3 linked regions of the Mus musculus genome follow. The protein of the gene in region 2 purifies or fractionates together with the protein of the main gene of each other region. This does not show direct contact. Links are inferred from orthologs where the notes say so. Each region holds a gene or a part of one and is shown on either strand. Other genes may lie near its edges. The genes, in order: Fam98a, Racgap1 and Shcbp1.

Region 1 (3,752 bases), on a different chromosome or scaffold from region 2:
TGTTCCACATTCATTCAACAGCCAGCAGCTGCTACCTTCCTTCTTGTGCTAGGTTAGAGATAAAAGATAGCATTTACTGTTCTAGAGGCAGATAGATGCTGATGGATCTCAGAGATAGAGGCCAGCCTGGTCTACAGAGTGAGTTCCAGCACAGCCAGGGCTACACAGAGAAACCTGTCTTGAAAAAAAAGATAGTATTCAACTGTAATTTTTGAGCAAATTGTTTAAAAATACACAGCAATCAACTAATGGTGACTTTTAATAATATTTAAATGTAACCACACTAAGTTAAAATTAATTATAAACTTTCATTAAAAACTCTAGGGTTTATATTACAATGCAACCTAACTATTTACTTGAGGGCAATTGTTGCAGGGATAATTAGTTGTAGTAAGCCAGACAAGAAAACATCATTAGGATAAAGGAACAGTAATGGAAGCAAGCTCTTCCACTGCAGCCAGTCAGCTGATCTTCACCTGCACGGAATATCCCAGAACTCTTCTGGTTCTACTCCTGCAACACTACCTTTTCAAGGGAAGAGACCCTCCTCGGGGCTTTTCATTGTATGCTTCTCAGAGCTTCCACGTGAACTTATACCCTGAGGAAAACCCCACACTGGCACAGAGCAAGTGTCCCTTAAAAAATGTTTACTGGCCGGGTGTGGTGGCGCACACCTTTAATCCCAGCACTCGGGAGGCAGAGGCAGGCGGATTTCTGAGTTCGAGGCCAGCCTGGTCTACAGAGTGAGTTCCAGGACAGCCAGGACTATACAGAGAAACCTTGTCTCGAAAAACAAAACACACACACACACACACACACAAAAAAAATGTTTACTGAGTAAGCGAATCATCTTTAGACACCCGTTGAAAAGCACCCGTTCCACAGAATAAGGCTTACGTGTGGCCCATTGCAAGAACTAAGTTGGCCAAGTCTGGGCTATGCACAAAATGTGATTCAAAGAAATGACCACAGCGGCTGATGTTCACAGCGATGGTTAGTAAGCTTCCTTTATGGTCAGTACCTACTAGGACACCAAGCTAGTCACATGGGTTGCGCTTTGGCTACCTCAAAGGTGTCCTTCCCTAAAGAAAGGTGTCCCTTAAGAATTTCCATGGCATGGAAAAGCCTAAAGTTAAGCTTTGATTAAGGATTATAGTTAAAAATACAACAATCGGCAGGGCATGGGGGCTCACTCCTTTAATCATAGCTCTCAGGTGCCAGAGGCAGGAGGACCTCGGTGCGTCATTTCTTCTACGCTGATTTTATCCTGAAATAGTTATTCGCAGGCAAATACTTAATCATGCAGGGCTTTTTTTTTTTTTTTTTTTTTTTTTTTTTTTTTTTTTTTTTGCCTAAGAGCCTCTAGGTTCTCAAGTTTAAGCACCTTGATCTGGGTGACCAAACAAGATAAATAAGCCTTATTTCCAAATTCCTAAACACTGAAGACTATGACTGAGAGTCAAGATGCAAATATGCTGATTCTTGGTGGGTGAGGATGACCCTGGAATGCTGGAGTTCAGCGAGGCTGTGCTGGAGGTCTGAAGTCACTGACTGTCATTTCCAAAGCAGGTGGTTGAAAGGTTAGGTGCACAGCTGAGCGGGCTTGAGAGCAGCCGGCTGCATCGCCCAGACGTGCGCTTTGGGAAGCCTAGGTGCATGCAGAGATGACTGAGCAAAGATGATTTTTTTTTTTTTTTGAGAGAGAGAGAGACAGAGAAGTAGGGTGGGGGGTAGAAGCTCAAGAAAGAAGTAGGGAATCTTGGGGCCAAGTAGGAAAGCAGATACAACTTTGGCAAACCATAAAGTGGGGGTAGGGTGGGAGGACGGGAGGCAAGAAGAGAAAGCTTGGGGAGTGGGGGGGTGGTGAGAACCGGAGCCCAGACAATGACACGCATGACTGAGACACGCTGCGGGTAGCTGGGCTGTAGGGGAGCACCGGGGAGGACGAGGGCCGTCGGAGCCCAGTGGGCAGGGTAGGTGTGGACGTGGCACCGGGGGTCCCTGGGCCAGCAGCGGGAAGCTCCGGCGGGAGTCGGGTGCGGAGTGGCAAGGCAGGTGGCTCCGACCGGGCGCCCGAGGAGTTGCCGGGGCTCTAGCAGAGTGGACTTTCAGAAACTCATGCCCCCGCCGTCTTACCCTAGATCTTCCAACGACTCCAAGATGTCAGTCTCCATGAGGTCACACTCCATGCTACTGTGGTATTCAAATTTCCGAGTCGTCAGGCTGCCCTCTCGCCGGCAACGCGTACCCTAGCGCATGCGCTCCTTCCCCGGAACTTCCAAGTCGACAGCTGGCGCCTCAGTCCCCGTATTGCGCATGCCCCGAGCGTGCGCAAGCAGTTTGGTTCCGCCCACTGCCCCCACCTCACCGGCCGAGGAAAAAAAAATGGCCGGGTGTGCGCGTGCCCAGTATGGGGTAGTGAAGCTAGCTGCCCTAAGAAGGGCAGGAAGGCAGGTGGCGTGGCACCGAGGCTGGGAGACTCAGAGACTCAGCCAGGGGGCGCGGAGCTCTTGGAATGCGCATGTGCACAGCTTGGGGCGAGGCAGGCGCGGGAGGAGCAGAAGCAGGATCCAGCCTGGGATTGTAGAGTGACAGCTGTGGTATTGAAGATGCGTGTCCTCCTTTCACCTGCGAGTCACCACAGAAGGGCAAATTTGTGCGTTCCCAGCCACAGCCCAGGGCGGGGTTAGACGGGTCAAAAACAATGAAAGCCAGGAAAATGCCATTTGATTTTTCTTCAGTGTAGCCTCTGGAGTCCACGGTTAGAGAAGTGGCTTTCCTCAGTATGGATGCTTCAGAAAGTTTCTCCAGGGAAAGTTTTTTTTTTTTTTTTTGTCCCTGTCCTCTTGAGTCTGCCCCAGACACCACGCATTTTGTTTTAACGGGAAAGGGCATAACTCCATATCGAATACAATAGGGTATATTTGATTACATGCAGTTTAGACAATGGATCAACTTTTTGTCTCCGTTGACTTTTTTTTTTTTTTTTTTAATACAGGGTTTTATAGAGCCATGGATGGCCTGGAACTCACTATGCAGACCAGGCTGGCTGTGAACTCACAGAGCTCCACCTACCTTTGCCTTCCCAGTGCTGAGATTAAAGGCATCTGCTACCATGCTCAGTGTTGTCATTACTTTTGGCCACCCATGCTTGGGTGTAGCTTTCTATTATGAAAGAACTGTTGAATAAGGAGGAAATCGTTTTCAAAGAGATGATGTAGTTAGAAAATCATATTTATCTATGAATTGCCATGTTGTTATATTGTGTAGTCATTTGGTTTTAAACTTATTCTTACGTTTTATTTTGTAGTTTCCACTTTCATGTCTAATGGATAAGCATTCTCTGTCAGTAGTAATTCATGGTTTAGTTATTTATTTTGTGTAACATGGGTTGGGAGAAGGTTATGCACTAACTGTTCTAGTGACTATCCTCTTGACCCATGAGCGACCTGGCTTCTCCAAGAAAGCTCCCCTAAAGTTAAATATTCTTCAAGGTGTATTCATTGATTCTAATTTCCTGATTGGGAAAAGTTGCAAATCCAGAGCCAAGGTTCTGTCAGACTGTCATTAGTCCCCTTAAGAGCCCACCCTGGCCCATCCTGTGTGACCTAACCTCATTTTGGCTATCAGGTAAAACTTTTGGGATGTGTAAACATCCAAATTAGCTTCTGCCTACTCAAAGCCACAAGTGTCATCAGATAACAGCTAAGTTCTCTCCACATCACTGTAAACTTCTCACCTGCTGTCCCCAC
Region 2 (3,652 bases):
AAACATATTATTCCTCTTAAATATACACCAAAATATACATTCTAGAAAAAACAACTCACTGTCCACACACTCTTCTCCTTGGAAGATTCCCTAGCTCTCAGACTAAGCATCCGCTGTACTAACCTCTGTAGGTGGATCATAAGGAAGGCTAGCGTGTCCCTGTTGGCCTGGGGCAGCTCACTGACAGCCTGGTACATGGCGGCTGTGCTGTTGTCTTCATCTGTTATCTCTGTGATGACAAGAAAGCATTAAAGGTCCAGGCTCTTCCCTGGACAGCAGCTTCAAGGCTATCGACCACAAAGGCCCACCTATACACGGAGCTTCTGAAACTTCTGATGCGGTTCATGACAGCACCAGACTCTAGTTTCATTAACAGGCAGGACACTGGCCAACAGTTCAATGAGAAGTCAGAACTTCCTAAAACTCAGTTAAGAGAAAGCAGCTGGCAACCCATTTGCTGGGAAGACACACAAGTGCAGTGATAAACCATCAACAATCATAGGACACTTGAGGGCCTACTATGTACCACGTGCTATTTTTAAATGTGAGGATAACGAAACGAAAAGAGGCCTTGTTTAATGGAATAAATACTCTAATCAAAGAGCTGGTCAGGAAATGCAAAAAACAAAACACATGTCAAGCAGTATTCAGGAAAAAAGAAAATGAGCACGTGGAATGCTAAAGTAACAGGGCCTGCTTCTCACAAGATGGCCATAAAGGCGGGTTTTGTGGTTAGTTTTAAAAACTGGGTTCCAGGTAGCTTACTCCAGTCTCAACTCACTATGTAGCCAAAGCTGGTCTCAAACATCCGGCCCTCCTGCCATCCTTCCCAAGCGCTGGACTACCACGTCATGCACCTGGCTTAGGAAACGTGTTTCTAAGGACAAAATGTGTGAAGAGAAACCGGGGAGAGAGAAGTAACACAGTACAGAGATGTCAGGGGAAGCTGCTAGGGATAAGACTGCAGCAAATGGGAAGGACGTGAGGTGGGTGTGTGCTACAAATCCAAGACTCTGGGCTGGAGAGATGGCTCGGCAGTTAAGAGCACTCACTGGCTCTTAACATATACATAAAATATACACATAAAATAAAAAGAAATCCAAGACTCCAGGATTAGAAAAGAGGAAGGAGGGGCATAAAGAAAATGGTGTTGCAGACAATGACCAGGAGCCAAGTCTGCAGGTCTCTTCAACCATGTTAAAGACTGGAGTTAGTCTAAAAATGATGGACAAGCCAGTCCATGGTGGCACATGACTTTAATCCTAGCACTTGGAGGCAGAGGCACGTAGATCTTTGAGTATGAGGCCAGCCTGGGCTACAAAGTGAGTTCCAGGACAGCCAGAACTACACAATGAAACCTTATCTCAAAAAACAAAACAAAACAAAACAATGGTGGACAGAGACAAAAGGGCCACCAGTAACTCTGAGTGTAAAAGGACCACACCAGCACCACACAGATGCTATCATGTAGGGGCACAAGCAGAAACTCGACAATCTGTTAGCAGGTTCTCAACATATTCTGAGGACAGCTGAGTACCAGGACTCGTGACAAATACCAAATTTAAAGTGTATTTACAGGCTGCTAACAAGGTCTGTGGTGGAAAAGAAAGGAATCAAAGCTGGTTCTATTTTCAAAGGGACAACCTAAAACCTGACCAAGAATCAAGACCCACAGTGAGTCCTACGAAGTCTAAGTTAGTTTAATTCTTCCCTTTATTTTATGTGTACACATACGTTGCCAGCATTTATGTGGTGCCTGAGGGGGCAGAAGAGTACAGCAGATCCTTCCGGTCTGGGGTTCCAAATAGTGTGACCCACCCTTGCAGAAGCTACGAATCAAAACCAGACCCTCTGGAAGAGAAGCCAGTGCTCAACCACAGAGCATCTCTTAGCCTCTCTAGTTCAGGGAAGAAACGGCATGATGGGAGGCGAGGACAGTCACTCACCCACCCAACAGTCTGGGTACCTAGGACACTTCAGACACTGCACAGGTGGTGGAAAAATTAGTAAACTGTAAACACAGCTCAGCCCTGGATCGGCTGACGCCACAGTCAAGTTCTGCCTTCACCTGCTGCCTCCATGAAGGCTTTGCTCAGCCAGAAGGTCAGGAGGGGCTCTTTGAGGTTGCGCAGGAAGTCCTTCAGGAGGCTGCAGATGACGTGGATATCGTCCACTTTGCTGAGGAGGGGCACAGTTTTCACCTTAAGGAATTTTTCTTTCAGTTCTTTCACTGTGCGGTCACAGCCTGAGATCCTGTACAAGCCTGCCTGTTATAGAGATGACACTTACTTAGGAACTTCCAAATCACCATCGCAGACCACAAACTCACCGGGCTCAAGCTCCTCACCTCAGTCAGGCCTCGCTGCTCGATCTCATTGACACAGCTGACGACAATGGCAGGGATCATGGGAGAAGCCTGCGACACGAAGTCGGCCAGCATGCCCTGGAAGAAGGGGCTTTGTTATTTACACTGCCGAGACCGAGAGAGAAGGGCTCATGCACAGAGCTGTCACTAAACACTAGCAAAGTGTGTCAGCGTCTGAACTTCTATTCTACAAGTACGTGCTAAAACAGACTCGGGGACTGAGAGGTGGCCGGCAGCTGAAAGCCTGTGCTGTTCGCCAGAGGACCTGGGTTCACTTCCCAGCACCCACATCAGGGGGTTCACAACCACCTGTAACTCCAGCTCCAGGGGACTCTGACATCTCTGGCCTCCAGAGGCACCTAAACTCCTGTGTATATACCCTACTCATACATAGTTTAAATAATAACATTTCTGAAGAGTCTTGGAGGAGTAAGGTGCAGCTCAAGGCCTGACATGAGCATACGCCTGACAGGCATGAGGTCCTGTGGTGGGCGATGCGTGTATCCCAGCACACTGGAGATAGAGGCAGGAGGAGCAGAGTTTGAGGCCATCTACATAGAGCCTTTAGTCACTTCTGTCTTCATGCTGTGGTCTATATAACCACACACACTTTTTTTTTGTTTGTTTGTTTTTTGGTTTTGGTTTTTCGAGACAGGGTTTCTCTCTGTGTAGCCCTGGCTGTCCTGGAACTCACTCTGTAGACCAGGCTGGCCTCGAACTCAGAAATCCACCTGCCTCTGCCTCCCAAGTGCTGGGATTAAAGGCGTGCGCCACCATGCCCGGCTACACTTTTGTGAGCAAGAAAAGTCCTTTTCTTCTACTCGGGACAAGAGAAAGCCAGCCCCGAGGAGCTCACAGCCTAAGCTGGGTGTGGTGGCACAGAGGGAAGCAGATCTCTGAGTCTGGATCCTGAGCTGGAGATCTTTGAGAGCGGATGATCCCAGTATACCCCTTGCCTACTGAAGGTAACAATCTCTTCCCTCTCGAGTCTTGGCTAGGCCTACATTAGCTCTGCACTCAACAAGAAGTAACCACTACTCAGTTTCGTGCTGGCATCTAAAGCCCCGTACAGGAGCGTCAGGGCTGCTCTGTGATATGGTCTGGCAGGGAAAAGCAGCCTGGAGAAGCTCCACAGCTGAGAAGATGATGGACTTACATTTGGAATAACAGTACAGTCAAGGCACTTATTACACACAATACACAAGTTGTACCTTAGTACACAACAGCTTTGACACTGCCAGAGTTTCACACCTTCTTTCTAGTGCTAAGGACCATGTCCCATGCCTC
Region 3 (3,198 bases), on a different chromosome or scaffold from region 2:
ATAGAAGCAAAGGGTTAGGGGTAAGAGGAATTTTAGCAAAGGTACTGGATTGGCTCATTAAAATATTAACAGAAAGATTATATGTCAGCAAAAAGGGGCATCAGGACTTTGTTCCGGTGGGCTTGGGGCTTATCTTTGTTCACATAACAACCAGTTGATGTATGACTTTACCCGGCGCCAAGGGGTAATAGACAGAAGGGAGGTTCCGGCCAGATGGTGTTGACTCAGACAAGATAGCCCTGCTTGTCCTCGGATTGAGGGGAGGTTCCGGCCAGATGGTGTTGACTCAGATAATATAGCCCTGTTTGTCCTTGCATACCTTTCCATCTTTACTGTCAAGATGTTCTTAGGAATGCCTTAACAACAGCCTTGCCCTGGCATGCCTGGGCCTGTTCTGCTTTGTTCTCAGCCCCAGGCCAGGGCCGCTGGCTCCTAGACAACTCACAAGTTACAATATTTCATCTTCCTTCACTACATCTACAGTCATATTTTATGTTTTTTGTGGCTTTCTTACAAAGGTGTGCTTTGTATGTAATACATATAGATAGAAATAAATCCACATTTCACACAAGCTTAATCAAGTACACTTTATATAATACACAGCCATGAAGCAAATGAAGCAAAGTATATAAGCAGCATACTTAAGACATGTTCAAAATACAGTATTTTGTGAGTATTGATATTATTGTAGCTAGTAAAGAAATGTGCCAAAACTCCCTTTGCCATTCCACTTAAACTGGTTCCCCATAATTTCAATAAACATCTCCTGTGACATTATGTTGTCATCAGCTTGTGTAATCCCAAGTTCACTCAGTCTTTTCTTCATCCGGCCTTTTTGCATGGAAATAGCAAGTAGTTCATTTATAATTTCACAGTTTCCCTTAGCTTGTTCATTAAAGTCAGCTGTGGCATAAGGCTCCATTTTGCTAGCCACACACTGAAGCATTTCTTCCAGATCTAATCCTTCAGTGACATCTGCCTCTTTATTTTTCTGAACCATATTGTCTGAGGAAACAAATTATAATGAAGTTAAACATACAGTTTAAACAAACAAGGAGATATTTCTAATACAGTCTTTTAGATTCAAGTATTTTCTGCCAAGAGTTTATAGAATTTCTTTACTATAAAAATCTCAATGAGTAGCTACTTAGATCTTCTTGCAAAGTTTCATTAATAGGGTCATTAATTTTAAACTTTGTTTACCTTCTTCATCCTAAAATCTCAGTCACTGGACAGATATGTTCCTAGATATTTACTATCTGCTAAGCTATGTACTGGGAGCTAGTTGTTAAACTCACAATCTACTAGCTAGTTCCCATCCTCAAGAGTTGTACTCTCAGCCAGGCGTGGTGGCGCATGCCTTTAATCCCAGCACTTGGAAGGCAGAGGTAGGTGGATTTCTGAGTTTGAGGCCAGCCTGGTCTACAGAGTTCCAGGACAGCCAGGGCTACACAGCGAAACCCTGTCTTGTAAAACCAAATTAAAAAAAAAAAAAAAAAAAAGAAAGAAAAAAAGAGTTGTACTCTCATGCTGGTGGCCTGCCCTGGCCTCCTGGGGTTTGGAGTTGAGGTGGAACACAGAGTTGGATGATCTCCAGCTCTGTAACTCTGGGGGCTAGAAGCTGATGGCTTCTGCAAACTTAACACTCTCTTGCTTATTTTCTGGATGAAAACCACTGGCTTCCTTTTGCTCTAACTCTCTGTGCTTGAACAAGTGCTGGGCAATTATGAAAAGGATTTATTGCTAGTGCTTTTGTCTCTGGCCAGTCAGCTAAGAAGCCTCTCACTGGCCAGAAAGCTCATTACGTCTTTTTGAACCAGAGAGAGAAGAACGGAAAGGAAAAAAGCCACTCACACAGACAACACACACACCAGGTGAGGTGGAAACTAGTTACACCATCTGTCTTTATTACTTTCAGCTTTTTTTTTTTCATAGCTTTTTAGACAAAAAGTTCTCTATGTAAGAATTACCTCATAGATAAAATGTTACATGAAAGGGGAGTTACAGAGAAGTATTAATAATAAGTACAAAGCACTGTTTCACATTGTAAGCTCATTATAAGTTCAACGCAAAAGTCTTTACATGGCCTTGCCTTATCATAGTGCACACTTGTGGCTTCATCCTTGCACCTGAATGTTTTTGCTTTAACACAAATTTCTCCCAAGCATATATGGTTTTTTAGTGTAATTATAAAAGCTCATTGTATTGCTTATTATGTAGCTCTTACTTACTATTTATGAGAAGTGGGCATATTTCATTCTTGATTCTAATTTTATTACATATTTCTAGTAAAACAAATAAAACCATCTTAAAACTTTCTTCCTAAGATTATTTGAATCAAATCAGGAATTCTATCATTAATTCATCTAAACAGCAATTATGAAAGTTCGCCTTTATGTTGATCTGCAGGAAATCTGCTCAACAGTGGTAGGTTAATGCCCAGGAATCCTTAGGCTATATAATAGTGACAGGAAAGGTATAGCAGCTGCAAGAAGCAATCCTGAGATGAAGTGCCTAGGGACCTTGCCTCTCAGAGCTCACCCATGCAAAAATGGTGGGTCACCTTGAGAAAGGTCATCTGCTAGCCTTAGCCTTTCCTAGATAGCTCCTGACACTCTCATGATTGCTAAATGCAAAAATATTTTGTTATTATCTTCCAATGTTATTATTATCTTCTAATGTGATTAAGCCTATCTAGGCAAGTTTTTTGTTTTTGTTTTTCCTAGCTGGCTGCAGAAGATTCAAAGCATAAGCTTGAATCTGTGTATCTTAATCAATGGGGCTACAGAATGATTCCAGCCAAGCTTAGTCCTAAGATCTATACCACGGACTCTGCAGACGAATGACACGAGTAGCATTGGGTGTAGATTCGTCCTCCAGAGCTTAAAAGGTAAGGGCCTCTTCCACATGCATCTCAGCTGTTCTTTGTTCTGTCCTGACTGGAAGGGCTCCTGAAGGATGACAAGGCCTATTCTTCAAACCACTTCAAATTTCCACAGCCATACTAGTACTTTTTACTTCTTTAGGTCTTATATTTAAAAGTGATTTACACATCAGTGGCTTGAGATTTACAAATTTCCACTGTGTGTGCTTTCCTTTTCTGTCAGGAAAAGTGGTAACTGAGAGAAACTTTTCATTTACCAATGAAAAGTAAACGCAAAAGAAACTTCAAACTTAGAAAATTCATTTCTTACTTCT

Evidence for each region.
Region 1: the proteins of Racgap1 (region 2) and Fam98a purify together in Homo sapiens (co-immunoprecipitation; 3 studies listed by BioGRID and IntAct, with this or other methods). This does not show direct contact. The link is inferred for Mus musculus from reciprocal best matches to the Homo sapiens genes RACGAP1 and FAM98A.
Region 3: the proteins of Racgap1 (region 2) and Shcbp1 purify together in Homo sapiens (affinity purification with mass spectrometry; 8 studies listed by BioGRID and IntAct, counting the BioPlex papers as one, with this or other methods). This does not show direct contact. The link is inferred for Mus musculus from reciprocal best matches to the Homo sapiens genes RACGAP1 and SHCBP1.

What each region holds. Positions count from the first base shown.
Region 1 is NC_000083.6:75,549,605-75,553,356, forward strand, and holds the start of Fam98a (protein FAM98A), read right to left. Parts: upstream 2,343-3,752; 5' UTR 2,190-2,342; coding exon 2,137-2,189; intron 1-2,136. UniProt on the Homo sapiens protein: Positively stimulates PRMT1-induced protein arginine methylation. Involved in skeletal homeostasis. Positively regulates lysosome peripheral distribution and ruffled border formation in osteoclasts.
Region 2 is NC_000081.6:99,624,115-99,627,766, forward strand, and holds part of Racgap1 (rac GTPase-activating protein 1), read right to left. Parts: intron 2,444-3,652; coding exon 2,348-2,443; intron 2,268-2,347; coding exon 2,069-2,267; intron 230-2,068; coding exon 124-229; intron 1-123.
Region 3 is NC_000074.6:4,735,403-4,738,600, forward strand, and holds the end of Shcbp1 (SHC SH2 domain-binding protein 1), read right to left. Parts: intron 1,006-3,198; coding exon 692-1,005; 3' UTR 574-691; downstream 1-573. UniProt on the Homo sapiens protein: May play a role in signaling pathways governing cellular proliferation, cell growth and differentiation. May be a component of a novel signaling pathway downstream of Shc. Acts as a positive regulator of FGF signaling in neural progenitor cells.